Oryctolagus cuniculus: one gene and its partners. The protein of the gene in region 6 interacts with the protein of the main gene of each other region in a pairwise test. Links are inferred from orthologs where the notes say so. Each region holds a gene or a part of one and is shown on either strand. Other genes may lie near its edges.

The links.
Region 1: the proteins of VPS52 (region 6) and TBC1D22B interact in binary tests that used the Homo sapiens proteins (3 or more experiments, as listed by UniProt). The link is inferred for Oryctolagus cuniculus from reciprocal best matches to the Homo sapiens genes VPS52 and TBC1D22B.
Region 2: the proteins of VPS52 (region 6) and DDX6 interact in binary tests that used the Homo sapiens proteins (3 or more experiments, as listed by UniProt). The two-hybrid records come from large-scale screens. The link is inferred for Oryctolagus cuniculus from reciprocal best matches to the Homo sapiens genes VPS52 and DDX6.
Region 3: the proteins of VPS52 (region 6) and RAB4A interact in binary tests that used the Homo sapiens proteins (3 or more experiments, as listed by UniProt). The two-hybrid records come from large-scale screens. The link is inferred for Oryctolagus cuniculus from reciprocal best matches to the Homo sapiens genes VPS52 and RAB4A.
Region 4: the proteins of VPS52 (region 6) and TXLNA interact in binary tests that used the Homo sapiens proteins (3 or more experiments, as listed by UniProt). The two-hybrid records come from large-scale screens. The link is inferred for Oryctolagus cuniculus from reciprocal best matches to the Homo sapiens genes VPS52 and TXLNA.
Region 5: the proteins of VPS52 (region 6) and USP2 interact in binary tests that used the Homo sapiens proteins (3 or more experiments, as listed by UniProt). The two-hybrid records come from large-scale screens. The link is inferred for Oryctolagus cuniculus from reciprocal best matches to the Homo sapiens genes VPS52 and USP2.
Region 7: the proteins of VPS52 (region 6) and TSTD2 interact in binary tests that used the Homo sapiens proteins (3 or more experiments, as listed by UniProt). The two-hybrid records come from large-scale screens. The link is inferred for Oryctolagus cuniculus from reciprocal best matches to the Homo sapiens genes VPS52 and TSTD2.

What each region holds. Positions count from the first base shown.
Region 1 is NC_091436.1:132,390,660-132,394,638, reverse strand, and holds the start of TBC1D22B (TBC1 domain family member 22B), read left to right. Parts: upstream 1-1,179; 5' UTR 1,180-1,258; coding exon 1,259-1,314; intron 1,315-3,979. UniProt on the Homo sapiens protein: May act as a GTPase-activating protein for Rab family protein(s).
Region 2 is NC_091432.1:111,456,391-111,460,534, reverse strand, and holds the start of DDX6 (probable ATP-dependent RNA helicase DDX6), read right to left. Parts: upstream 2,801-4,144; 5' UTR 2,675-2,800; intron 2,103-2,674; exon of another isoform or gene 1,631-2,102; intron 1,612-1,630; exon of another isoform or gene 1,513-1,611; intron 1,435-1,512; exon of another isoform or gene 1,013-1,434; intron 1-1,012.
Region 3 is NC_091444.1:90,047,273-90,051,353, forward strand, and holds the start of RAB4A (ras-related protein Rab-4A), read left to right. Parts: upstream 1-1,281; 5' UTR 1,282-1,551; coding exon 1,552-1,582; intron 1,583-4,081. UniProt on the Homo sapiens protein: The small GTPases Rab are key regulators of intracellular membrane trafficking, from the formation of transport vesicles to their fusion with membranes.
Region 4 is NC_091438.1:140,273,197-140,277,487, reverse strand, and holds the start of TXLNA (alpha-taxilin), read left to right. Parts: upstream 1-1,491; 5' UTR 1,492-1,659; exon of another isoform or gene 1,660-1,686; intron 1,687-1,801; exon of another isoform or gene 1,802-2,016; 5' UTR 2,017-2,206; coding exon 2,207-2,372; intron 2,373-2,864; coding exon 2,865-3,203; intron 3,204-4,291. UniProt on the Homo sapiens protein: May be involved in intracellular vesicle traffic and potentially in calcium-dependent exocytosis in neuroendocrine cells.
Region 5 is NC_091432.1:110,963,372-110,966,783, forward strand, and holds the end of USP2 (ubiquitin carboxyl-terminal hydrolase 2), read left to right. Parts: intron 1-341; coding exon 342-420; intron 421-615; coding exon 616-723; intron 724-813; coding exon 814-934; intron 935-1,171; coding exon 1,172-1,259; 3' UTR 1,260-2,912; downstream 2,913-3,412. UniProt on the Homo sapiens protein: Hydrolase that deubiquitinates polyubiquitinated target proteins such as MDM2, MDM4 and CCND1. Isoform 1 and isoform 4 possess both ubiquitin-specific peptidase and isopeptidase activities.
Region 6 is NC_091436.1:135,856,866-135,860,365, forward strand, and holds part of VPS52 (vacuolar protein sorting-associated protein 52 homolog), read left to right. Parts: intron 1-587; coding exon 588-738; intron 739-964; coding exon 965-1,065; intron 1,066-1,171; coding exon 1,172-1,304; intron 1,305-1,430; coding exon 1,431-1,488; intron 1,489-1,872; coding exon 1,873-2,006; intron 2,007-2,457; coding exon 2,458-2,613; intron 2,614-3,038; coding exon 3,039-3,157; intron 3,158-3,403; coding exon 3,404-3,500. UniProt on the Homo sapiens protein: Acts as a component of the GARP complex that is involved in retrograde transport from early and late endosomes to the trans-Golgi network (TGN).
Region 7 is NC_091432.1:201,428,560-201,432,496, forward strand, and holds the start of TSTD2 (thiosulfate sulfurtransferase/rhodanese-like domain-containing protein 2), read right to left. Parts: upstream 2,801-3,937; 5' UTR 2,661-2,800; intron 1-2,660. Other genes in the region: NCBP1 (nuclear cap-binding protein subunit 1), read left to right, coding at 3,250-3,283.

The DNA of each region.
Region 1 (3,979 bases), about 3.5 Mb from region 6:
CACCTTGTAAAGCAGTGGAAGATGGCCCAAGTGCTTGGGTTCCTGTACCCGCACGGGAGACCAGGAAGAAGCTCCTGGCTCCTGCCTTCAGATCAGCCCAGCTCCGACCATTTTGGCCATTTGGGAAGTGACACCCAGTGGATGGAAGATATCAAGATCTCTCTCTCTTCTCTCTGTAACTCTGCCTTTCAAATAAATAAACAAATCTTAAAAAAAAAAAAAGCACAAAGCGCAGACAAAACATTTCAAAGAGTTTAAAATGCTAATATTAAATTTCATTCTGAGACAAAATTAGATTGAGAACAAATTCAAGGGTGAAAGATTTACAATAGATTAAGAAGGGAAATTAAGGATAAGTGTGTGGGGGTACACCCGCATCTTGGTGATTCACATCATGGAGATACACGATATGCTCTAAAGAAATGGGGTACTTGGTCATGTGGATTGGATGGACGCAACCACATTCCCTAAACACGTCTGTCAGTCAGTATCTAGGCTTTCACTGTCAGAAAGTGAGAGTTACGGATTAAAACAGGATTCGATCCTTGGCGTTTCATTCACAGCACAAATCCTTTAAAAGTATTCAGTCAACAGAGGAGGGAGACTCCTGAACCCACTGTCACATGTTGAACAGTTAGGGAGCGTGGGTTAACTGAGTCCTTCATAGGGAGAAAAAAAAAAAAAAAAACTCCGGACCTAAACGGAACCGGAACGAGGAAGGGGTGGCTATCACCGAAGTGTCACTGAGTTGGGTGTCGTTAAAAATGGGTCACAACCAACAAGGTCAAAGATTTATGTTTATAAATACACACTATGGCCCTCCTTACAAATAATAGCAGACTCCGGGATCTCATTTCCCCAGAAGAAAACAGCCCCCGTGCCTCCTTCCCGTGGGTCGCTTTCTTTACCTGCTTCTTCCCTCTCGTGGGTAGGAACTTTCTGCCCCGCCTCCCGGCTCGCTCAAGCTCCGCCTTCCCGGCCCACCTGGGTGCCCAGCCCCTGACGTTACCGTTCGGCTTCAGCATCCTACAGGATTCCGGCTCCCGATTGGCCCGTCTGTTCACGGCTGGCGCAGCCCACCAATGGCAGCTGCGCTGGGTGGGCGGGTGCCCACATCCAAGATGGCGCCCCCAGGAGCTGGGAGCGGGTGACCGGCGACGGGGAAGCGGCCTGGGTTGGCCCTCAGATTGCGGGGTCTCGGGGGCGTCTCGTCGGGCACCCCCTGACCCACCTACAAGGCCTTCCCCGGGCCAGAGCAATGGCCGCCGAGAACAGCAAGCAGTTTTGGAAGAGGAGCGCCAAGCTGCCGGGGAGGTGAGCCCAGGACGCTGAGAGGGAGCCGGGATTGGACCAAACCCTTCCAAATCCTAATCCCTAAATCTTGCGACTGATGTGGGGACCCCAGGACCGAGCAGTCAGGGCTGCCTGGTAGCGGCAGGGCGGCTGTCAGGCAGAGGAGCGGGGACGGCTGGGTGTGAGGTACAGACCGGGGTCTGAGGGCGGAGGTCTCAGGAGAGGTGACCTCAGCTGGGGGGTGGCCGACGACCGGGCACAGGGGGCAGAGGAGTTGAGGGAGAACCCCGTGTCGCCCCCGGGGCTTGGGGGGCCATTCCCAGAGCCACTTCCCACTTTGAAGAGAACTCCTCGGGGGTCTCCAGCATGCACAGGTGGTTGCTTACTCGAGGGTGGCCCCTTCCTTGGCTCCCCCAGCTCCTCAGGTGCAAATCTTCTCCCAAAGGGTTCTGGTGGGAGCTTGGGGCCGCCTGCGAGGAAAGGGGTCGGGGCGGGGGGTGGGGGTCCAGGAAAAGTGAGAGCAGTTCTGCAGCCTGACCCCACTTTATCTTGAGTTGACCCTTTCCCGTCAAGGATTTCTTACAGGGAGACCACAGAGTCGGTGTTTTTCTCTAGCATTTTCTAGGGATTTGTCCAACTCCAAGTGACCTCTTCCCCCCACCCCCTGCATTGTAATGGTCTTCTTGTGCACACACACTGAATTCTTTCATTCTTCAGTGGTTTCGTGGAGGGCAGACCTTCTAAGCGATTTTTTTTTTTTTCCATTTTGGCATGTGTTGAGACTTTTTAGCAGTTGTCCATCCCCCAATCTGCCGTTAGTTGACAGTTTGGGTTGTTTTGGGCTGAGTCCTTAGAAGTCTAAGGAGGAAAGTGTGTTTCAATTGTGAATTTAAGATTTCTGCCAGCCACAGTCCAGTTGGTGATGAAATTCACGTTTGGCTGTGCCCTCCCCTGCCACCTTTCCTAATTGATTCAGTTCTTTTCTTTCTGGGATAATTGGTAATTCTTTGAACTTATGACTGAGTATTTTCCTCTAAAGCAAAGAGAAATGAACAGTCCGTAGTGTCTTGGCAGTCTTACCTTATTTAGGATCCTATTAAACATATGGGAAATGGAGTGGGGATCAGCTTTTAGTAATACATATTAATAGAAGGCAATGCAAAGACAGCCTCAGATTAACATGGAAATTACACTGGAATGACTGTTAATATCGTGTTAAAGATGTTGTGTGTCTTTAGATAAGCATCGCTTCCTGCCACCTGATTTCTTTTCCTTCCTGATCTAGTGAACTCTCCAGTTATGCTAAATGCTGTTCTCTGGGGTTTTCCATCATGAGATCATTAAATTTTGATGTCCTAAGGTTATAATGAGACTCAGCAGGAAAACTGTTCCAACAGGAAGCAGTGCAGGAGATGAGGGACATGGCATGGTCCTTTGTGCCTTCTGACACTGGTTGCTGTTCACTGGCTTCTGTTTAATACTGAAACAGTCAACTTTTCTAAAGCACTATGTGAGATAGGAAGAGGAGTCTTTTTTTTTTTTTTTAAAGAAAGATTTTATTCATTTATTTATTTGAGAGGTAGAGTTACAGACCGAAAGAGGGAGAGACAGAGAGAGAGGTCTTCCATCCACTGGTTCACTCCCCAAATGGCCGCAACAACTTGGAGCTGAGCTGATCTGAAGCCAGGAGCCTGGAGCTTCTTCCAGGTCTGCCACGTGGGCGCAGGGGCCCAAGCACTTGGGCTCTGGGAGAGGAGTCTTCATTTCTTCAAGTGTCTGACTCTTCCATTTTGAAGAATACAGAAGGGAAGAGGAGAGAACCTTAGGGTTTAAAAAGCCTTGGCTCATTATTTGAACTCTCTTACCTGTGTGTCAAAGACAAATGATTGACATCCAGGCCTCTGTTTCCTTATCTGTGAAATGAGAAATAAAAATACTTCCCTCAGGGTTCCTGGGATTACTAATAAAATACCCTATTTGTAAAGAACCTAGGACCGTTTATTTAACACATTATAGTTGCTCAGTATTGCTGTTTCTAGAGCAAGTAATTGTTGAAAAGAATATTGCTCAGATCCCTTACCCCAGCCCTAGTTCAAGTCTTCATTCTTTGTTCTAACCATAAAATACTGGCACAATTCATACTAGCTTTTAGTACTTTGATTGTTGAAGAGAAATATGGTTCAGCTGTGTGCCTTTATCTGCGAGGCCCCAGGAGCTCCTGATTATGGGAGAAAACTACCCAGGCATCTTGTAGATGGAAAGGTGCCTTGATGAAAGGAAAATGTTAGAGCATTTTCTCAATATAACTTTTTTTTTTTAAGATTTATGTATTTATTTGAAAGTCAGAGTTACACATAGAGAGAAGGAGAGGCAGAGAGAGAGAGAGGTTCTCCATCCTCTGGTTCCCTCCCTCAGTTGGCCACAACTGCCGGAGCTGCACTATCTTAAGCCAGGAGCTTCTTCCAGGTCTCCCACTTGGGTGCAGGGGCCCAAAAACGTGGGCCATCTTCTACTGCCTTCCCAGGCCACAACAGAGAGCTGGATTGCAAGTGGAGCAGTCGGGACTTGAACCAACGTCCATATGGGATGCCAGCACTGCAGACAGCGGCTTTACCTGCCACAACATAGTGCCGGCCCCCAATATATCTTTTGACTCTTCACTTGATCTTAGCCAAAAAGCCAAGAA
Region 2 (4,144 bases), on a different chromosome or scaffold from region 6:
TTCTCACATACACAGAGCTGTTTATTTTTAAAGTCTTCCTGAATCAGAGCACTTAGAGGAGGTTATGAACCTTTCCCGTATTGACAGCTTTAGATTATGATCAACCGTATCACATAGTTCATATAGGGAGACTTATTTGTTTGCAAAACATTAGGAGGATGAACAAGGCAATCTCTTAAAAACGAAACCGTATCTTCATTACTGCCCATCACCGCGCATCTCCCTAAATCCAAAATAAGACTATGTGCTAACTGCTCCCCTCTTAAACTGAAACCTGCACTGCAGCTTTATGTCTCAGAGAGGAAATATTCCTCCTACCCCTTCCCAATTTAGATGTGCAGGTTATAGTTCTACGTTAAGAAAAAAAAAAAAAAAAAAAGACAAAACGTAGACTATCTGGGAGGAGCCCCTGGTGGAATTAATTACAGCACTTCCCAGATCGTAGTTAGCAATTGACAGTTTCACACCCAAAACAGTACCGTCATCTCCAACGAGAGCTTTTGTTTGCAAATGCAGCGCAGTTTCTCCAAGCTCTGGCTGCAAGTTGGAGTGACTGGGTTTTATTCCGAAGAGAGGGAGCGGGGGATCGCGGAAAAGGAGTCAAGCCAGTGTCGGGAGCCCCGCAACTGTATGGCACTCATTTCTTCCCCTGCCTCCCCCCAGTCTCACACTTCGAGTCAGCTCCTTCAGACCACAAAAACAAAACGGTTGGGTCCCCGCAATCCTATCTGCGCAACAAGGGCCAAAACTCAGCTCCGCGGCAGCAAACAATAGGGACTGCTCCAATAAAGGGCCCGAAGAGACCCCTACAACCTAGGACGCCCCTCCTTCCCTCCGCGACCCGGGGGCTCCACCAACACCCTCTGTTTATCGACCTACAAGGCCTACTGCAATCAGGCAGCAGCCGGTCCTCCTCCAGCCGGAGCCCTCCAACACGGCAGATCCGTGCCGCCCCCTGTAGGGCTGCCTCGTACCCCATAACCTCCAACATCATCTCCCCCCCAGCCCTTACCGCCCCCTCGGGTCCCCACAGCCCCTCGTCTTCCACAAAACTCCTCGGAGCACTCGGCCCGCTCCTCCTCCTGACCCCGCCGCGCACTGCATTCCCATATTCGACTCCTCTGAGGCGCCCCCACCCCACACAGCTGCCGCCCGCCCTTCCTCCCCCAGGCCCGGCCAGGCCTTGGGCCTCCGCCCGGAGCGAACCCCTCGCCGGCCCGAGGGGCTCCCTGAAGCCCCCACGGCACCGCCGACCTCGACCCCGCCGCCTCACCCCCGCGCCCCGCGGCTCTGGCCCGAGTCCTACCACCGAGGCCACTCCCGCTCGGCACCCTCGGTCCTTTATTGTTGACTCGAAGCTCCCAAAATGGCGGCGGCTCCTTCCTCCTCGGAAACCTCCGCCCGCCCCCACCCGGCCCCTCGCTGTGGCCGCCCCCGCCCCCGCCCCCGCCGCACTCCCGGGGCCGCGCCGCCGGCAGCCCGCGCCGCCGGCTGCCGGGCCGCCCAGCCTACCTCCGCCGCTGCCCGCTCTCTCGGCGCCGCCGAAGTCGCCGCCGAGCTGAGCTAACTCGGCTGTCTGCCCCCTCCCTCGCCCGCCCGCCGCCGCCTCCCTCCCTCCCTCTTTCCCTGCCTCTCCGCATGGCGGCGGCCGCGGCTCCTCCTCCACTCAAGATGGCGAGAGCTCGGCTGTCGCGGCCGCCTGGCTTCCCTTCTTCCCTTCTTGACGGCGAGGGGAAGCCCGGCCGGAGAAGCTCCCTGAGGAGGGGGGAAGGAAAAAAAAAAAAAAAGCGGGCCGTTCTCTCACACCGACGGGTGGAAAGCTGCAGGGGGAAGCCCGGCTGCTGTCTGAGGGGACAGGAAGGCCGAGGAGAGATGCTCGGGGAATGGTGGCTGAGGAGAGTCGCCGGCCTTCACGCCTCCTGCGTGAAAACCCGGGGTTGTGACCAGAGGCGGATCTGCTTGTTACTGCCCCAAGACCGGTCCCCAGCACTGCCGGGCCGGAGGCGGGAGGCTGACCTGGCACCCCCGCGGGCCGGGGGCCGCGTCCGAGCCCCTCGCGCCGCGTCTCCGCCCGGGAGCGCGCGGAACCAGAGGCCCCCACGCGCCCGCCGACGCGCGCCCGGGGGCGGGAGGGGGGCGGCCTGGGACCCGCGGTGGGGAGGGCCCCGGGGCGCGCGGAGGGCGGGCAGGGGGGGTGTAGGGACCGCGCCGGGCGGAGACCGTGCGCCTGGGAGGGGGAGCTGCGGAGAGCACGCGGGGTCTGGGAGGCGACCCCGCCGTTAGGGCGCAGGGCTGGGCGGCGCGACCCCCCTCTACTGCCGAGATCCTCCAGGGAGGGGCCGAGCCTCCCCCCAGAGGGGAACAGCACTGAGTCGTCTCGGTGGAAGCCGGGCAGTCGGTAAAGATCTGGGCGCCCGCAGGCGGAGAGTTTTTTCTCCCGCCCGCCCCTCACTTGTAAAGATTTTTAGGCATTTCTCCTCATGATTACTTCTCAGACCCTAGCGTCTCCGTTTATCCCCAACAGAATAACAGAAATGCTGTGGTGTCTCAAGTAAGAAAAAAAAAATTTGGCTAGGCCGAGGGAAAGTAAAATCCTAGGTCGCACCCGGCTGGGAAGCGGAATATACAAACGGACAATGGCCAAAGCGTATGTGACAATAGGACTCCGACCCACCTCCGCAGCAGCGAGCCCAGAACGGTCAGCACTTGCTCACTGACTGGCAGCTTCCATGTTTTTTTGCCGCTGTGCCGCTGTCCCCAACTCGGAGCCAATCAGAGAAAGCCAAATATGCCGCCGCAACCAATCACGTCCGAGGCCCTGCTTCTCGCTCGCCCTCCTCCCGCTTCCCGGTGCCAGCACGCGCCAATCGCGGCCGACCTGACGCCTTCCCCGTTTTTCACCATGAAGCTTTCCTACTCCCCCGCCTGCCTGGTCCCCACCACTCCGAGGGGTCGTGGCTGCGGATCCTACGGCACGCTCTGAACGCAAAGCCTGGTCTCGTTTGGCGGTCTGGAAAGGCTGTCGAGAGCAGTGAAAAGACTACCCTTGACGTTAAAAAAAAAGTCCCCTTATTTTTTTTTTAAATTCTAGGTTTAGAGCATGCCATCTCCCACCCAGATTTTAAAACACCTAGTCGTGAAGAGAGAAACCCTGCACCCTATTCCATCCTGTAGAGAAGACGGCTGGGTGATACCGTGTGAGATCCTCTTTGCCTCACTCTCTTCCCACGTATCAGGTGTGTGAAGGGTTGGGAAAGGGGCTTCAGGATTTACACCAGGTCCCTTCCCCCACACTGCTCAAGGAAAGGGTCCACAAATAAACTGTAGCCTGGATGAGGTCACGACAAAAATGGGCAATATGAAATGACCACCCATCTCACCTAGGAGTCCTTCTGAGGCGAAAACCTTTCGAAATTCTGTATAATGATCTTTTAAGATGGGTAAATACTCTCACATTGTTGGCCCTTTTCAGTTTTCTGATGGGATACGTAGATGGTTTAAAATTAAGCTAGGAACCCTGGATCTTTTATTCTAGATTCAGCTTTAGTGGTTGATAGGTCAAACCATTTCAAACCATTTTGTCCTTGCTGTTTTCAAACAGATTAGCAAGAATTGTGAAATATGACACTTTAGGAAAAAAGATTATTTGGGGCTGCACAGACTATCATTTATAAAATGTATTTTTAGGGGGTTGGAGAGAGGATAGCTAATGGGTCCAGGGGTGCAGTTGGGCAGGATAACTCTGATTGGCAAGAATTAATTGAATATTTCAAAATAGCCACCTAGCTGCTTTCTCTCTAGGGTGAACACGAGGAACAGAGTTCCCCCCTTCTGTGTGACGAGGTATTTTAAAATCTGGGAGATGGTATGCTAGAAACAGAATTTGAAGAGGATTTTGAATGTTCCTAGCACAAGAAAAGTATGTGAGTCTGAGGTGATAGGTATGCCTGATCATTACATGTTGTACATATGTACATATGTATTGAAAATGTCACACTGGACTCTTAAATTATGATAATTTGTTGGTTTGAAAAATTATTTTTTAAGAAGAATGTAATATAAATCAAATCCTTTGGTCTTTTAGTTAACATGGAGTGGAATAATTGTGAGTACTCTGTAGCAAATACGGTTTCTGGAGGATGTG
Region 3 (4,081 bases), on a different chromosome or scaffold from region 6:
TGCCACGGAACTGGGGTCGAACCTCCAGCCCGTTCCCGCGCCCGTCGGAGGACGTCTGGAGCACCTGGCGCCTCATGGCTGAGTAGGAAAGAAATCGCTTCATTTCTGAAGCGGACGGCGGCTTTCCGCCACCTCCGGAGCCCAAAATCCGAGAAAACGAGCCGTCTGGCCACCACGTCCCCGCAAGGCAGGTCCGCGGTCTCCAACTCCTCAGCTCCGGATGACGGTCGCCGAGCAACCGCCGCCATGCGCCAGTGGGCGGGGCCGCCGCGCACGCGCAGAACCTCCCACCTCCCCCGCCCAGCTGCAACCAGACTTGGGTGGGTCTTTGCTAAGGAAAAACATCAATCATTTGAAAAGCAGTGTTTATACTCAGCTGGAGATAGAGTGGCTTGAAACTGCAGAATTCTGAAGGCCTACAACGCCTCTGAAAATGTCTAAAAAAAAAATGTTTCAGCTCCTTATCTTTCAGTTTATTTCCCTTCCACATCACCTTTGTTCCACTTGTTATATATTAATGTTAGCCGTCGCAAAGCACACCGGACACCGGAGTAAGGGAAAGGGTTTACTGGAGAACACCCTACAGACCGGAGTGAAGGGGCTGCGAAGGAAAAAGAGAGAAAGAGAATATAAGAGAGAAACAGAGAGGAGAGGAGCTAGCAAGGAGAGAAGATAGAGCAGAGCCAAGAGAGAAGAACCAAGAGCCAAGAGACCAGAGGAGGAGGCTAGAGAGAGGAACCGAGAGAGAGCAAGAGAGAAGGGCCAAGAGAGCAGGGAGCAGAGCCCAAGAGAGCACGTGTTCAGGAACAGGCCCTTTTAAAACTTTGCCTGAGGGCGGGCAGGGAAGCAGGAGCAGCGAATCCCATTAGGATGGGGGTGGAGCCTGGCTCAGGTAGCTGGGCCATGTGGCCACCTGGCTAAAACTGTGCCAGTTTCCTAACACTATCAAAGTAGGCAGGTTCCATACGAAGCGGTAGCTTCTGACTCCAGATTCCTGCTAATGTGCCCCCCCCCGGGGGGGGGTAGTGGAGATGGCTCCAGTTACTGAGTTCCTGCCACCCACATGGAGACCCGAATTGGGATCCTGGCTCCCCTCTTGGCCTCAGCTCAGCCACCGCCCTTGTGGACATCGGGGGAGTGAACCAGTGGATGGAAGCTGTGCGTATTGGCGCGCGCCCTGTGCGCCCGCGCGCGCCTGTGCGCCTCGCCCGGCCTCCCCATGCGCACGCGCGGCCGCGGGAGGGGGGGCCTGGCTCCTCCTTCTCCTCCTCCTCCTGCTCCTCCTCCTCCAGCTCCAGGCCCGGGCCGGAGGAGGGCCGAGGGCCGAGGGCCGTGCGCCTGCGCGGAGCCGGAGTCCTATAGGGCCGCGGCGGTGCGGGTGGGCGGTTGCCTTGGGGACCGGTCCGGCCCCTCCCTCCTCGGGTTCCCCACCCACCCCGCTCCACGCCCCTCGCCGTCTGGACGCGCGGCACACAGACCTCCCGGCCCTCCCTTCCCGCCGCTCACCCCAGCTGCAGCCGTGACCCGGCCAGAGGCCGTGCCGCTCCCAAGATGTCGCAGACGGCCATGTCCGAAACCTACGGTAGGAGGCCCGGGGGACGAGCGGGCTCGGGTCTCTGCGGCGTGGGGACCCGAACCTGCGCTCGGGGAGAGGTCTCGGGGGGCGTCGGGGGCTCGGGCCCGGGATCTGCGGGGAGCGCGAGCGTTGGGGCCGCGGGCGGGGGGCTCGGGGGTCTCTGGGTGGGAACGCGAGGCTGTGAACGGCCTGTTTACGTGATCTGCTTTTCCAAGTTTCCTCCGCGCTGGTACCCTGAGTGTTTTTCCTCTCTGGGTAGCTTGAGATTCGCCTGCGGCTGTGACGTTAGCCCCTGCGAAGGGGGCGACTTCTGGATTTCAGCGAGCTCCTCGGGATGTTCCAGTTTTGACCTTTTCGGATTTGGATTTACTGTCTTTGCCGTGGGATTAAAGGAGGAGTTAGCAATAGATTAATCTATCTCTTCCTCCCAGATAACTCTTGCTTTATTTATAGCCTCTCTAGGTTGCATTTGGCTAGTTACAAGGGGGCTCGTCTATTCTTTTAAGATCGTAAACGCCTTGGAATCGGCGCCTTGTTAAAAAAAAAAAAATTTTTTTTTCTGTCCTGCATAGTCAGGATCAACAACTTGTACCTTTTATTAGTGTTGAGTAAATGTTTATCAACCCGGACTCTTTCAAATGTGTACAGTCTCAGATTAAGACTTTGATTTGGAGTTTTACAGCCCCAGGGAGAGGCTCAAATTCAAAAGAAAATGTATCCCTCAAGCCAGATCCGCCTGTCACCATCTGTCCTGGCCTGCCGCTCCTTCCCGGCAACAGATAACGTGTGCAGGGCATTAGGGGAGCAGGCGTCAGGCTTGGAAGGCTGTGAGCTCCTGGAGACACAGCAGAGGCGGCTCTGGCCGGGTGGAGTTTGCCTTCTTGGCGGGGAGTCCCGTGTGAATCCGGTTGGGGTGCTGCTGAGTGAGTCCAGGCCAGGCAGGAGCCCTGAAGAAATGTGCCTGTTTGTTAGGATGAGAGCTGGCCCGCACTGGGCAGTCAGACGGTCACCTGGCAGGTGCCCAGACCTGTGGAAAAGGCATTTCAAGCAGGGCGAGGAGAGAGGGCCTGGTGGGAGGTTTCCAGCTCCCTCCTAAGACAGGTGGTAAGCTTGCAAAGGTTTCTGCTCCAAGGTCGAGGTGCAGTGGGGCCGCTTTAGCGATTCTTGTGACTGGCACTGCCCTGTTCTTGGTGACACTGTAGCATGGCCGCTGTTCTTAGAAGGCCTCGGAAATCTTCCAGGAAACCTGCTGGGTTTGTCAAGACCAGCGTTGCCAGAGCTGCCGGGTCTCCTGTGAGGGGTGGCCATGCGCTGCTCTTCTTCCCATGGAGAACTGCAGTCAGAAATGGCTTTAAAACATTATCTCTCTGCTTATTTGAAAAGGCAGAATTACAGAGGGAGAGGGAGAAATCCTCCATCCGCTGGTTCAGCTCCCCAAATGGCCACAACACCCAGTGCCGGGCCATGCTGAAGCCAGGAGCCAGGAGTTTCATCTGGGTCTCCCATGTGGGTGCAGGGGCCCAAGCACTTGAGCCACCTCCCGCTTTTTTCTAGATACATTAGCAGAGAGCTGGAAGTGGAGCAGCCGGGTCTCGAACCGCCACCCAAATGGGATGCTTGTGCAGGCAGCAAGGCAGCCCCCCAAAAGTATCCTACGGAAAATGTGTTCCAAGCAATTTGTGGTTGTATCTTTGCAGTTGTTTATATGCAAGTGCTTATTTGTCCACCCCTCCCCCATTTTTTTTTTCTTTGACCTGGGTAAGCAGCACTAGATAAGGCTGAAAAGTCTTAATGAGGGAACCATGGGGAGGTTGTGAATTACTAAGAAAGCATGGGAAGACCTTGCTTTCATTTTCCTTGTGTGAAGTGGTAACAGCTGATAGAATACAGCCCACCTTTGCTTGCCCTGCCTCACTCTGCACAGGGATCTTGGAAGTTGCAAGCCTCACCCAGGAACTGGTTAAAATCCTGATGCTCAGGCTTCGGCCATTAATGTTCTTATTTCATGCACTTTCAAAAAAACAAGCTTTCACTATTTACTAATTGTGAATTTAGTATTTTCTAAATGAGACATAAAGAGCCAGTGCCGTGAATGCACTGTTAGTGTGCGGGAGCCACCTGCTCATGAGCACGTTAGAGCAGTGTTCCACTTCCCATAGACCTGAGTCGGGTCCAGCCCTGTGTTGTTGGGAAGCCACTAACCACAGGAGTACAATGCTGTAGTGTATGTCATACTGTAATGCACAGTTGAAATGCTAAACAGATGTCAGCGTGGACCCTTCAGTCTGAGTGTCACTAACCTGGAACAAGGTACTCCCACATGTGTTTAGATTCAAGCGATCCAAAAGTGCTGGCCCGTTAGTGTTGCCCGGGACTCCCCCATGGAACCCCTCTGAGACCCAGGAGGCCACAGTTTGGCGGTGCGTGATTCCTGGTGCCAAGAACTGATGCTAGTGCTGAACTGTAAATGTGGAGGGGAAATGCCAGGCTTCTTTTTTAAAAATT
Region 4 (4,291 bases), on a different chromosome or scaffold from region 6:
TCGAGCATTTATCCAACGGTCATCGCAAAGCTCACTGACTTGGCAGCAAACAGTAAGTTCAGGACTCGGGACTAATCTGGTTAACACTAGGGAGCTGCAACAGTGGCAGAGCACTGGGAGGGTTTTGATGTGCTCTTTGAGATGGCTCTCAAGTTTGTTGTTTATTTTTGCCATAAGTGCACTTTGGAAGAAAAATAGCAAGCATCTGCAAAAACCTGAGAAACCCTGTGAATCATAAAAGTAGAGTTGGAGCAAAAAACCCAAGATTGGATGGAAGAGGCAAAAGCCAAACCACGTAGGCTCTTCAGATTCCAGGTGCAAAGAGTACTGGGTTTTATTCCAACGTCTATAAGCAGCGGTGATAAAGAATTGTGACCTCGGGGCTGGTGCCTGCAGTGCCGCCATCCCACATGGGCGCCAGTTCAAGACCTCCTAGCTGCTCCATTTCCAATCCAGCTCTCTGCTATGGCCTGGGAAGGCACTGGAGGATGGCCCAAGTCCTTGGCCCCCGCACCCAGTGGGAGACCTGGAAGAAGCTCCTAGCACCTGGCTCCTGGCTTCGGATCGGCGCAGCTCTGGCGGTTGCGGCCAATTGGGGAGTGACCCAGCGGATGGAAGACCTCTCTCTCTCTCTGCCTCTCCTCTCTGTGTAACTCTGCCTTTCAAATAAATAAATAAATCTTTTTAAAAAATTGTGATCCCACCTTTGGAGAAAAATCTGGCCTTTTCAGTTTTAGCCCTAGTACCACAAGGACTTTGTACAAAATGGGACGAAGAAGTTTCAGGAATGGGCCTGAGGTCAAACACCCCTGCAGGGACCCCTCTGCCCCTTCCTGCGGGACTGCCGAGCTTATTGGGGGGGGGGGGGGGTAACTACCTTTCACAAGTTACCCGGGCTCTTGGAGAACGCCTGCAATGGTGATTATTTCTTCTGAGTAAAAGGCAGGGTAGCGGAGTAGTCAGGTTCTGAACCACTGCTCGAACCCAGCATCTGTGACCGTGGGCGAGCTGTCTAACGCGAGCCTTACAGCCCTCTTCCGTTAAATGGGAATGACAAATAGTACTTATCTCCAGCAGCTAGGAGGCCAGGGCTTTTAAGAGACCAGGGAAGCACACGGGGTGTGCTCAGAGAACCGCTACGGTCACTGAAAGCCTGCGTCAGAATAAGGAAATCGAGGCAGGGAGAGAAAAGAACGTCCAGTCGCGTGGCACCTAGGGATGAAGTCGGACCTGGAACACAGGCCTGCCTCCCAGCCCAGGCCTCTCCGGAGTCCCCGGACTGACGGAGTGTGGACCGAGGCACGCGGGCGCAGTGAGGCTGGGCCGCACAGGGCTTCTGCACGACACCGGCGAGGTTGACGTGGAGGTTTGCTCAGAACCACCGGCTCCCCAGCCCTCCGGAGTCCGCGGCTCTGAGGACGAGAGCATCCTGGGAGTTGTGTCGACCGATGCATGGTGGGACGTGTAGTCCGCTCCTGTCCCCGCCCTCCCGATGCACCCGCCTTGGAGGCCGCCTTCGCTCCCGGCTCCCGGCAAGCTCCGCGCCAGCGCCGGCTACTAATTGGCTGTGGCTCGGACAGGCGGCTCTGCCGGCAGCGGTTACCCAGGGTTTCCGGTGCGAGGCCAGCGCTGGGGACGCGGTCGCACGTCGCCCGTGAGGTGAGCCCAGCGGCGGGACGACGGACGGTGAGGGCCTGCAGACCTGGACACTTTCGGCCAGCGGGGAAATTGCTCCGATTTCTGCGCGTGGGCGGCGGCGGGGGTGGGGGGAGTCGGGGTGACGCTGTGCGCATGCGCGCGACTGGAGGGCGCGCGGGGCGTGGGTGGCTGCGTGCGCGCGGGCGCGGGAGCCCACGTGGGACCTGGGGCGCGGGGGGAGGGGTCGGAGTCGAGCGTCCCGCCACGTCAGTCTGCGGCCGGGAGCCAATCCCGCGCCGGGCCTGCCGTGAGGGGCCGTGTGGGGCCGGGAAGTGGCTTCGGGGGGAACAAGGAGGCCTCTCTCCTCACCCGCTCCAGGAGCAGCGCCCCGGAAACCCGCCGGGGTGCGCCAGGCCCCCTGACCGGCCGGACAGCGGGAGAACCGTTGGCTCCCTCCGTTGAAGGTGCGCCTGGGCTGTGATTTCTGATCCAGGCTGCGAAGAATTCTGTGGAAAATAGCAACTGTGTTTCTCAAGGATCCAATCCCAACCTAAGGTGGCAGCGCACAATGAAGAATCAAGACAAAAAGAACGGGGCTGCCAAACAGCCCAACCCCAAAAGCAGCCCGGGACAGCCGGAAGCAGGAGCGGAGGGAGCCCAGGGGCGGCCCGGCCGGCCGGCCCCCGCCCGAGAAGCCGAAGGTGCCAGCAGCCAGGCTCCCGGGAGGCCGGAGGGTGTGTGCCAGCTCTGCGTTTCCAGCCGCCTGGGGGAGGAGTTCGCGGCCCGGCCCAGGGAGGAGGCAGCGGGGATGTGGAGCATCCCAGGCTCTGGGGAGGGGAGGCCCTTGCAGGCTTCTCGCAGGTGGCCGGCACCTGAGGCCTCAGCCAGTGACGCCGGGTTCCATCCGAAGGACCTCGGTCACCAGTGTGGGTCACTGCCCTTGGTTCGTTGTCGAGGCATTTCTGGAGCTGCTTGCATAGCAAGCGGGGGCTTTTAGAGGGAGGGGAATGGACGAAACATTGAGTTGCCTGCCTCCTGCGACATGGCAGTCCCAGGTGCCGTACGTACTTATTTTATGCTTGAACAAACTGTATTGGGGAGGTTGCGAGAATTAAGTAAGCTGGGGCAACCTTAAACCTGAACCAGTGAGGCTGGCTGGGCTCACGATCCCAGGTGGTGGTCTAACCTTGCCGTCTGTCGCTGCCTCTCGTCCTCTCCTGCCCTAGGGGCTCAAGCCAAAACTGCTCAGCCTGGGGCGCTCTGTGATGTCTCTGAGGAGCTGAGCCGCCAGTTGGAAGACATACTCAGTACATACTGTGTGGACAACAACCAGGGGGCCCCGGGTGAGGATGGGGTCCAGGGTGAGCCCCCTGAACCTGAAGATGCAGAGAAGTCTCGCGCCTATGTGGCAAGGAATGGGGAGCCGGAGCCGGGCACCCCAGTAGTCAATGGCGAGAAGGAGACCTCCAAGGCAGAGCCGGGCACGGAAGAGATCCGGACGAGCGATGAGGTCGGAGACCGAGACCACCGGAGGCCACAGGAAAAGAAGAAGGCCAAGGGTCTGGGTGAGCAGAGGGCAGCTGCGGGGGGCTGTGGGGAGGGCTTTGCACCTGACATTCCTTGGGCTGTGCAGCAGGGAGTCTCCCTGGTTGATTCAAAGCGCAGGGTATTCCAGCCACAGGCCGGAGTCGTTCAGGTTGGGAGCAAGTGAAATGGAGCCTGATCCTCATGGACAAAGCGGAGAGGTTTGGATGGGCTCTGTACCTGCCCACACCGCTTCGTCCCTGCTGTGTGACCTTGGGCATGTCCTTTCCCCGCCCTGGGCAATAGTTTCCAGTTCTCTACAAGGAGAGGATTGGGCTAGGCCAAAGTTGCAAACGCAAACGTCTGTGTAAGCCAGGACCGAGGGAGGGCCTGCTTTCTGCCCAGGGTGGACTGCAGCCTTGTTCCTTGAGTGCTCTGCACTGTGCCTGCTGCCAGCTCGTCAGTTGAGAGCGTGTTGAACCTCAGACTGGGTGCAGCTGGAATTTTATTTTCTGTTAAGAAAAGCCAGAAATCAAGAGTCTGGTGAAATCTGTAGATTTCAGTAGTAGAAACCAAACAAAACCCATGCATGAGCCGGGTTTGGCCTGTGTGCCAGTGATTGGCATCTCTGTGCTGGTGTCTTCGGGCCTCCGCAGGCTGAGCAGCCTGGAGCCTGGTCAGCAGCCCCTGGGGAAAGGCCCCCCACTGGGCACAGGCAGTGGGGAAGTGGCAGAGACGGTTTTTTGACAGCAGAGTTCGTGTCTGTTAAGAATCTGGGTTAGATGACATTGGACTTGTGTCCTAGTCCCTGTCTCGCCGCCCTTCCCCCGCCCCCAGCACTTGTCACCCTAATTGAAAGAGGAACTTTTTTAAAGAATCATGGGAACACACATTGAAGGTCTCTTCATTATAAGGTTCCCTGTTTGGATGCCTCGTACACAGGGCTATAGATTTCTCACGGAGGCCAGGAGACCTTTTCGGATCCTGCTTCTCTGGGAAGGCCCCACTTTGCATTGAAACAGTAGCCCTGAATTTGCAGGTGGGATACCTTTTATCTGCTGGGAGGCAGACAAGCTTTTCTCCCACCAGTGGTGCCCCCCCCCCCCCGAAGGAATTCCAAGAGGTTTTG
Region 5 (3,412 bases), on a different chromosome or scaffold from region 6:
AGAAGAGGGAGAGACACATCTTCCATCAGCTGGTTCACTGCCCAAATGCCCACAGCAGCCAGGGCTGGGGCCAGGCCAAAGCTAGGAGCCAGGAACTCCATCTGGGTCTCCCACATGGGTGGCAAGGGCCCAGGTACTTGAGCCACCACCTCCTGCCTTCCCAGGCACATTGGTAGGGAGTTGGATGGGAAGTGGAGCAGCCAGAACGAGAACCCGTGTTCCAATATGGGATGCTGGTCGCAGGCCGTGGCTTGACGCCCTGCGCCACAGTGCCAGCCCTGGGTTTGGGCTGTTGACTCCTCCCACAGGTTCCTTCCAGCGTGGTCTGTCTTGTCTTTCAGACATGCTGTCGCTGCCGGGCCAGAAAACGGTGTATAAAGAAGTTCTCCATCCAGAGGTTCCCAAAGATCTTGGTGCTCCGTATCCTTAGATGCATCAGGGTGGGGCTTGACCCTGGCGGGAGACGAGTGACTCCGGGCCAGTGCGCAGGGCGGAGAGCAGGGAGAAGCCAGGCCGTCTGCTCCCCGCAGAGGGGGCCGTTGCCCATTTCGCACCTGCTCTGCTTTCTGGGCCGTCCTCGCTTGGCTGTCTGCCCTTGACTCGAGGCAACACCAGATCTGAAGCGGTTCTCAGAATCCAGGATACGAACCAGCAAGCTCACAACATTTGTGAACTTCCCACTGAGAGACCTGGACTTGCGAGAATTTGCCTCAGAAAACACCAGTGAGTAACTCAGAGCACAGGAGGCCGGGAGGGGGCTGGGTGGGGCCGAGGAACGGCCCTGGGGCTTGACACCCTGCGTGTCCTCCTCAGACCACGCTGTTTACAACCTGTACGCTGTGTCCAATCACTCCGGAACCACCATGGGCGGCCATTACACCGCCTACTGCCGGAGTCCCGCGACGGGCGAGTGGCACACTTTCAACGACTCCAGGTGAGAGCGGTCCCGTGTGGGCGGGGCTCCCAGCTCCGGCACCCACACCTCGCTTATCGGCTTGGCCTCCACTTTGAGTGGACCCAAAACTTCTGAGCCCAGAAGCTCTGGAGCAGCCCTGAGTCCGGTGCCTGGGAGCAGGGGAGAGAGGCTGGAGGGGGTGCCTCGCACGCCCCCAGCCCCTCGGCTCTGGGCCTCCCCTGCCGGGCCCCTGACAGAGCCTTGCTCTCTCTGCAGTGTCACAGCCATGTCCTCCAGCCAAGTGCGCACCAGCGACGCCTATCTGCTCTTCTACGAGTTGGCCAGTCCACCTTCCCGTATGTAGCAGCGGGGAGCTGCGTCCCTCTCCCTTCCCTGTGGCGGCCCACACCCTAAGTTTTTTAAAAAGACAAAAAAAAAAACAAAACAAAACAAAAGCAAACAACAAAAAAACAAACTTGACAAATAAGAGAAAAAAACTACAATAAACTGCCGAACAGGAGTCGACGCAGCCTGGCCGGGGTCTGGAGCAAGGAGCCGGGTGCTCCTGAGCCGTGGCCCGGCGGGGAAGATGGACTGGACACAGCGCTCCCTCGGCTTCTCTTGTTTGTATTTTTTAAGCTTGTGGTTTTTGTCCTGTGTGTGATAAGCAACGCCCTGTGTGGGGAGAAGATCGCTGGCCACCTGCTGCCCTCTCCAGCCCCCGCGCCTCTGAGAAGACAGCGCCCTCTGGAGCCCGCTGGGAGCATTGCTGCCTGGAACGGACAAGCCCTGCGCCCCTCTCGGCCCGGACCTGCGCACTGGTCCAGAGCAGAAAACACCCGTGAATGAGCCAAGAGCCCTCTTAACGCTGCTAACTCCAGGGGGACAGACGAGGAAACGTCTTTCAGAAAAGCAGTTTTTAGTTTTTTTAAAGTCCAGCTTTTTTTTTAATGACCCTAACTGATGTTTCAGCCTGGAGATGTCTCCTTTACACCTGCCCCACTGGGGTGCTGTACTGGCCCGCCTTTTTTTTTTTTTTTTTTTTTTTTTTAATTCTTAAAGTACAACTTCTCTAATACTAGCCCCCGTGGTGCTAGGTTGGTGTTGGCCAGGCCCCAAGCATAGCCACGGTAGACTTGGGATCTAAACAAGTTTTGGTCATTGTTGTTGGTTTTTTTCTTTTTTCTCTCTTTTTTTTTTAATGTTCTGGATGGAATGTAGTTGCCTCCAAGAATTGTGCCTTATAGCATTTGGGGACCAGGAGATGACCGCCCCTCCCTGAGAGCTCCCTCCTCCTCTTCATCCTCCCCAGCGCCACGCTTAGACCCGCCCGTGCAGAGGGGTCGTGCCCTCTGCCCCTGACGTTGCTGTGCATTGCGGGGTGACAAGGAGGAAGCGGGTGGAGGGAGGTTTCCTGTGATAGTGCATCAAGGTTTTCCTGCCCACACCCTCCGGCCCAGCCCGCGTCTACTCCCCAGCTCTTTGGAGGATAGCACAAACCCCTGTCCCTTAAGCTGCTCTCGCCTTTTAATTTATTCTCAGTGATGTCCATGCCCCTCCCTCCCGCCTCCTGCACCCGCCCTTCTCAGAGCCTCCTAGACAGAGGCCCTATGGACGAGTTTCTCAGGGACGCCCACGCTGCCCCTTAGCTCCTCTGCCTGGGGGCTGGAGCCTGGCTGACTGGGATTCTTCCCCCGGGGGCTTGATGTTGCCCTGCGGTCCTGGGTGGAACTCTGTGCTGTCCCAGAGAACAAAGCGGTTCCGCACCGAGTGTAGAGGTCCGAGCGCCTGGCACAGGCCCGCTGCTGGGCCCAGCCTGTGTCCCTTGCTGCCGGGGGCATCCCAGGAGGAGGCACCTGAGAAAGACGCCCTGAGTTTAACTGGCCTGACCCTCTCCAGGGAAGACCTGGGAACCTGAGCCCGAGGGCTGGTGTACCTTGTTTACTATGTAAGCAAGAGCAGAATGTCTCTGTACAGTGGAACCTTGTACAGAATAAATGATAGCTTTGAGAAATAAGGTGAATATGACAGAAGCTTGATTCGGGAGGGGTTTAAACCCAGGAAGGGCTCCTGGCATATTAATGGCCACATATGAGGGCGGTTCAAAAAACCTGTGGGAAAATGGAACTGCAAGAAATTTAGGGACAGGCGCTTGGCCTGGCAGTTAAGGCCCATTTAGGACACTCGCGCCCCACATCTGAGTACCTGGGTCTGAGTGCCAGCTCTGGCTCCTGATTGTGTTGCAGGACGATAAAGACGACCTCGTTTCTTGTCTTACGTCGAAGAATTTCTTTGTGGACAGGGACAGTGAGCAAAGCAAAATCTATTCAAAGAAATGAGCTGCAGCAGTCAGGAGAGGAACTCCAAGAGAGGAGTGGCCACTGCTGGTTCTTTTATACAGAGAGTGACTCTCTGATTGGCCCCTTTCTGATAAGTGAGTAGAGCTTTAGCCACTCAGAGGATGGGCACAATACAACCAATCCGGGAACAGAATGTGTGCTGATGGGACATGCCACA
Region 6 (3,500 bases):
TCTCCTGGCTCCAGGTCATCTGGTGCCTTCCAAAAATTAGTGGGTGGGTTGACAACCATTTTCTTTCTTTTTGTTTTGTTTGATAGGCAGAAAGACAGAAGAGACAGAAATACAGACAGATCTATCTACTGGTTTATGTCCCAAGTGCCTGCAACAGCAGAGGCTGTTCCAGGCTGGAGCCACAAACTCCATGTGGGTCTCCCACATGGGTGTCGGGGACCCAAGTACTTGAGCCATCATCTGCTGCCTCCCAGGGTGTTCATTAGCAAGAAGTTAGACTTGGAAGTGGAACCAGGACTTGAACCCAGGCCCTCTGATACAGGATGTGGGCGTTCTGAGAGGCATCTTAGCTGTTGCATCAAATACCCGCTCTGTTGACAGCTGTTCTAACCTCGGTGTATGCTTCAGGTATCCCAGGTTAGGTACCTAGGAAGGGGATCTAGGACTAGAAGCTGTACGTACGTCCTGACTGAACAGTGCAGGGTAAGGAGGTAGAGGTGACAGGCTAGAGGTAAGGGCTGTGGTTCGGGTCGAGTTTAGGGATGTCGGTCTCGCTTCTAATCCAGCCCGCACCTGCCTGCTAACAGGGCGATTCTGGAGGCTCCAGTGACGGAGCCCAGGTTCCTAGAGCAGCTGCAGGAGTTGGATGCCAAGGCAGCCGCAGTCCGAGAGCAGGAGGCCAGGGGCACTGCAGCCTGTGCAGACGTCAGAGGCGTGCTTGACCGGCTCCGGGTCAAGGTAGGCGGAAGTGGGGGTGGAGACCCTGGAGACCCCTGGAGCTGGCCTTTCTAGAATCTTCCCTCTGGACTTCCCTGGCAGGTCTCATTGTAGCCTGTCTCCAGGAGCCTCACCCCTGCCTCCTCCTGGCAGGGCTCAGCCCTGTTCCCTGAGCTTCCCTGAAAATCTTAAGGAAAACTGGAGAGCTGCTCTCTACCCTTCCTCCTGCGCTTGCTCCCACATGTAGGCAGTGACGAAGATCCGAGAGTTCATCCTGCAGAAGATTTATTCCTTCAGAAAACCGATGACCAACTATCAGATCCCTCAGACGGCACTGCTGAAGTACAGGTCACCTTGCGAGGGAGGGGATGGTGCCCCAGGTGTTAGAACAGCGCACAGTGAGTGGCTTGTTTCTTGGCGGTCAGGAAGACTGACTTATCCTCGGCTCCTCCAGGTTCTTCTATCAGTTCCTGCTGGGTAACGAGCGAGCGACAGCGAAGGAGATCAGGGATGAATACGTGGAGACGCTGAGCAAGATCTACCTTTCTTACTACCGCTCTTACTTGGGGCGGCTCATGAAGGTGCAGGTGAGGCCAAGGACAGGCATTCCTGGGCCCGTGGAGCAGGGGACAACCCCGGGCAAGGAAGGAGTGGGATTTTCTGCTGTGCTGTAGGAAGAGACGGCCACCAGTTCTCTTTTCTCTTTTCCCTAGTATGAGGAAGTAGCTGAGAAGGATGACCTAATGGGCGTGGAAGATACAGCGAAGAAAGATATCCTGGAGCTGGGGACCCTCCAGCCAGGCCTTCAGGGTGGGGGACCCTAGTGCCACTCTCCAAGGGCCTGCTTCTTACCTCTCTCTGTCTCCAAGATCTACTTCTTGCCTTTTTCTGTCCCCAAAACTTGGGAGAATGCGGTGAAAGCTGTGGACCCTCTTCCCAGATAAAGGGACCCGCCATCTAGACACGGTTTGTCACGTGATCTCCTGGAGTATGGACTCCCTGGTGCCCATTCACAGATGTCAGGTGAAGTGGGGCCCTGTCATTAGAAAGAGCGATACGGAGGCTGTCGCTCTTTCTTGAGTGATAGTCCCGAGGTGCTAAGTCCCTGGGTCCAGTTGTGTTCTCATTGGTTCCCCTGACTCGGGCCGTTCCCACGATTCTTCTCGAAGCCGTCGCTCCGCAGCAGGAACACCATCTTCACCCTGGGGACCCGTGGCTCTGTCATCTCCCCCACTGAACTTGAGGCCCCCATCTTGGTGCCTCACACAGCCCAGCGGGGAGAGCAAAGGGTACGTGCGAAGAGGAAGAAGCTCTGTCGCTGTGGGACTCCGTGTGTGGGGCAGGAGGGAGAGATCGCTGGGCAGTTTCCCAGCTCGCAGGCTCCAGCATCAGTACCCTGAGCCCTGGGAGCGCCTTCTGCACTCACTGCAGCCTGCCGTGATGTGATGGGGTTGGCAACCACCGAAGGAAGGGCATGCCGAGGGGAGGGGAGGGGAGGGGGACTGGTGTTGCGGTAGGTGCAGGAGTGCAACCCTGGCTGGGGGATAGGCTCTTCCTCTCGGGGCCCTCATGCTCCCCAACTTTTTCAGTGCCTATTCAGGGTGCTCTTTTAGCCTGGACTGAGATGGGATGGGAAGGGTCTGCCGAGCTCTTGTTACCGGGGTTGCTGATTTGCCAGTCATATGCACGGAGGGGTCAGTGTGGGGGCCACCCCTTTGCCTCTCTTTACTCCTCCTCTAGTATCCATTCGAGGCCCTGTTCCGCAGCCAGCACTATGCCCTCCTGGACAATTCCTGCCGTGAATATCTTTTCATCTGTGAATTTTTTGTCGTGTCTGGCCCAGCTGCCCACGACCTATTCCACGCTGTCATGGGCCGTACACTCACCATGACCCTGGTAAGATCCTTGTGCTCAGTCCCAGTGCGCACCACAGCAGGGCCATAACTCCTGCAGTACTGCACTAGGACCTGCCTCCCCCATTCTAGAATGCCTGAGCCTCGAGCTCGCGGTGTGACTCCCCATGAAACCCTCAAAGCCTGAGGTCCACAGAGACTGCTCCTATTTCTGATCCACAAACCAGGCAGTAACTCCTGAAGACTGAGGGACCCCTAAACCTTGGCACTCCAGCTCAGCCCTGAGTTCCACTGGAATAGAGCCTGCTGGGCAGGGCTTGAGCAGCCAGTGCCCAGGGAAGGGGGGCATTTTCCTTCTAGATATCGTCCTTCCCTGCTACCTCATCCCCAAAGGAGCCCATGCACTTATCCGGAGGCACTGGGATGCCAGACTAACGCTCTTGCAATCTGCGTGTTCCCAAATCACAGAAACATCTGGAGTCCTATCTAGCTGACTGCTACGATGCCATTGCTGTTTTCCTCTGTATCCACATCGTTCTCCGATTCCGCAACATCGCAGCGAAGAGGGATGTTCCTGCCCTGGACAGGTCACTGAGTTCTGGTCCTTGATGCCCTGCAGGCCTTGCATTCTTGGTCTTAACGCGACTCTACCCTCATCCCGGGCCCCTGCTGACCTGACACCTTTGGCCCTTCCTCCCTGTCACCTGTTCAGAGGCCAGCTCACCCTTCACACACCCCTGCCCCTCGGTCAGCCGTCAGCCAGTAACCTCAGGTCGGCCGCCGCCGCTCCCCATTCCTTGCCAGCTGACCTCCGATTCTGATTGAGCCCACAGGTACTGGGAGCAGGTGCTCGCCCTTCTGTGGCCGCGGTTTGAGATGATCCTGGAGATGAACGTCCAGAGCGTCCGAAGCACTGACCCTCAGCGCCTG
Region 7 (3,937 bases), on a different chromosome or scaffold from region 6:
TTTCTTAAATGTCTTTTTTTTTTTTTGACAGGCAGAGTTAGAAAGAGAGACAGAGAGAAAGGTCTTCCTTCCATTGGTTCACCCCCTAAATGGCTGCTACGGCCGGCACTGTGCTGATCCGAAGCCAGGAGCCAGGTGCTCCCTCCCAGTCTCCCATGTGGGTGCAGGGCCCAAGCACTTGGGCCATCCTCCACTGACTTCCCGGGCCACAGCAGAGAGCTGGCCTGGAAGAGGAGCAGCTGGGACAGAATCCAGAGCCCCAACCGGGACTAGAACCCAGGATGCCGGCGCCACAGAAGGAGAATTAGCCAAGTGAGCCATGGTGCCAGCCTCTTAAATGTATTTCATTCAAAGTTCAAACGAAAGGAGCAGGTCTCTAACTCTGAGGCTCCAGGCCTTACAGGCACAAGGAAAACAGACCCACACCCTCCTGTGCCCGCAGCTGTTTTACTGTAGAGAAAATGCTTACATCACCTTCCAATTAAAATCCATCCCACAGTGACCGAGTGGGGGCCTTCCACGTGCCAGGCACTGCTCGAGGCACAGTGTGCCTTCAGAGGCAGTACACTGGGAGGGAGCACAGCCGGAGGAGTGGCTGCACATAGGGCTCCTCTTCCTGCAGTCACGCCTCATGCCCAAGCCGCCTCCCCAGAACACTGGCCAAAGCTTCTCTCTTTGCTGCTTTGTTACCCACTTTCTTCCACCCCCTCCCCTCCCCAAAGGCTCACCATGCCCACCACTGTCACCTCTTCCACCAAGTCTTCTCTGCCATGCTGCTGCCACTCTCCCTTCTGAAGACCTGAAACACTGGGTTCCTGTCAGCCTAGACTCAGGTCGAAGTGTCCCAGCGTGCACTCTACCCTCGCCACACCACATTGCGTCCAGTTCCACAAACAAGCCATGTTCTTTACACATGCCTTTCCCACCACCCCAAAACCTCGCCCCTCGCTCTAAACCTGCCTTTGGCCTCACGATACTTTATTCTTTATGTATCCTGAACTATTTCTTTGGCGAGTGTCTGCTCTGAGAATGGCACCCAAAAAGGTATGGGCAATGCAGCTCTGAATGAAACGTCCAAGCCCCTGTTCTTGTGGAACTCCTGTATTCCAGTAGCAGAAGACACTAACTAAGCTAGCAAACTTAGCATGAGACAGCGATGAGAGCCACCGCCTCTCCTCCCTTTGCTGCATCCTCATCGTCCTGTCTCTACATGCTGAACTGCTCTATCCACACCCACTCCCTAGGTGGTCTCATCCCATAAGCAAGGTCTTAAGAAACTATATTTGCTTCAAAATAACGGCGGAAGGCAAGTAATACAGCTGAAACCAGATTAACCATAGTTGGCAATTACTGGAGCCAGGGATGAGGGCATGGGGCTCATTACGTAATTTTCCCTGTTTCTGTGAGCACTTGAAACTTCATTGAAAAAAGGGGAAATGAACAGAAATAAAGGAACATGTATGTGTAGAATAATACATACGCCACATTTTATCTACAACCCCAGCCCCTCTCCTGAACTACAAATTCACACAGTCAACAATTTGGCTAACTGCAATTTCTAATGCAGCTGTGCAAAACAAAACTCTTACTTTTATTTATTTTTAAAGATTTATTTATTTGAAAGGCAGAGTCAGAGAGAGAGAGAGAGAGATATCTTCCATCCTCTGATTCACTCCCCCAAATGGCCACAATGGCCAGGGTTGGGCCAGGCTGGAGCCAGGGGTCAGGAGCTTCTTCCGGGTCTCCCACATGAGTGCAGGGGCCTAAGCACTTGAGCCATCCTGTGCTGCGTTCCCAGGCCATTAGCAGGGAGCTGGATTGGAAGAGGAGCAACCGGGACTCCAACTGGCGTCCATGTGGGATGCCAGCACTGCAGGCGGCAGCTTTACCCACTATGCCACAGTACCGATCTCAGTAAATAAATCTTTTTTTTTTTTTTAATTCAGTGTCTGGCACAGAGAAGGTATTAGATGTTTACCAATACTTCTAGAACAAAATAAAACAGCAGTTAGGTAACGAGGGGAGGTCGCACAAAGGACCTGATGCCTGAGCTGGGACCTCAGCCCAGAGGAGCCCGAACTGCAGACTGAGGAGCGGAGACTTCCAGGGAGAGGAAACAGATTCTAAAATGTTAAAGGGCTTGATTTACTGGAAGGAGCAGTTAGAACAGTGGATGAGGGCAGAACTGTACAAACCACGACAGAAGGTTTGCAATGGAAAGTCACTGGAGTTTAAACAAAGGCGTCACAAGGTCTGATTCTGGATTCTCTTTCAAAGTAGAGCTGGCACGCTCCCCGGACGGTGCCATTTACAGGCTGAGGGCGGAACCGGTGAAGCCCGGGGGGGTGAAATCTCAGATGGCCACGGCCAAGGCAGCAGAGACGTTCGTACAGTGTGCACGTAAAGATGTATCCAATAACCATCGAGAGCGCGACCACAGGGCCCTCATCCGCTCCTCCTCAGACAACTCACAGAGGGGAGAGGTAAGAGGACGGCCGGCGCACACAGAGCCCCGCAGGCCCGCGTCAGGGCCCGCCCTCCCGTCCCCGGGCCCCGCTCGTGCGGCACCGCCTCGCACGCCGCCCGGCCCCTCCTCCCGCCCACCTTCCCCGAGGCCACAAAAGCCGGGCAGTGGCAGGGAGAGGGAGCGGAGCACGTACCCGCCGGTCCTGCTCCTTTCTTAGCTCCTTCTCCACCCGGTGCCTCCGCCGGGCAAAGGTCACCACGCACCGCCCTCGACCCTACAGACCCCGCCGCGTGGTGCGTAGGAAAGGCCTCTCGGGACGTCACCCCGCTCCGGAAGTCTTCGCGGCCGTGAGCGCAAGGGCCGCCGGGAAAACCACTGAGAGGCCTCCCGCGGGTGGCTGCTAGAGCGGCCTCCTTCAACCACCACGCCTCCGAGTCTGGCCCGCGGCCGCCGGGCTCTGGCTGGCTGACGCGGCGGCTTTTTCTGCTTGGCCCGGAAGGACCCAAAGCGGAAGGCGGGAGAAGGAAGCACCTGGCAGGCGGAGGAGGCTCGAGGGGGCGGTTGCGCGCCAACCAAACGCCCGAGAGGCTCTGGACGCCGGCTCCGCGGGGTCCACCCGGCGGCCTCGCCTCCGTGCGCTTCCGGGAGCCGTCTAGAGCGAGTGCGCCTGCGCGCCGGCCGGTCCGCGCGCCTCGCCGCTGTTCTCGCGCCGGCCGGCGGCCCGACGGTTCGTGCGGCGCTTCCCGCCCGGCGTCTCGGCTCAGGGCTCACTGGCCGGCGGCATGTCGCGGCGGCGGCACAGCGACGAGAACGACGGTGAGTGCGCCCGCGAGGTTTAGCGTCCCGGGTCTCGAGGGGAGGGACGGGAATCCCGCCTTCCCCGGCAGCGTTTGGGGGAGCCAAGGAGGGAGGCGCCGCGCGGGGCAGCCGGCCGGCTTCTGGAAAGCGAACGCGCCCCTTCCGCCCTTGCTCCCCGTTCCCTTTGTCGTGAGGAAGGGAGCCCGGGCGATCCCCGTGGGCAGAGGCGTCTGCTCTCCAGGGGCTGTAAAAAGTTTAGACCTGCGCCGCCTGCAGGGATCCTTGACAGAGCCCCAGGGGTCCTGGGGTTTGGCTTCAGCCCGCAAAGCTGCGCCTGGGCTGAGCTCTCGGAGGACTTGGCGCAAGGAAAGGAACAAAGGCGTGTTGTGAATTGCGTTCCGCACCCCCTGCCCCGTCCGCCCTCCCTGTGAAGGGGTAGGAAAAGAACTCGGGCTCCCGCACACCCACAGGGACACGTGGTGCTGCGTTGGGTAGACGATTAGAGTCCTAGCTGGAGAGCTCTCAGGCCCGGGTGCCCGCGTCCTTTCCCGACGGCTTGTGCTCAGGGAGACCACGCTGTTGCCATCATGCAAACGAAATGGTCTTGCTACTGCCAACAGGAAAAGATGTGTGGGTTAGACGCGAGCGTGACGGTCCGTCCGGAACACACAC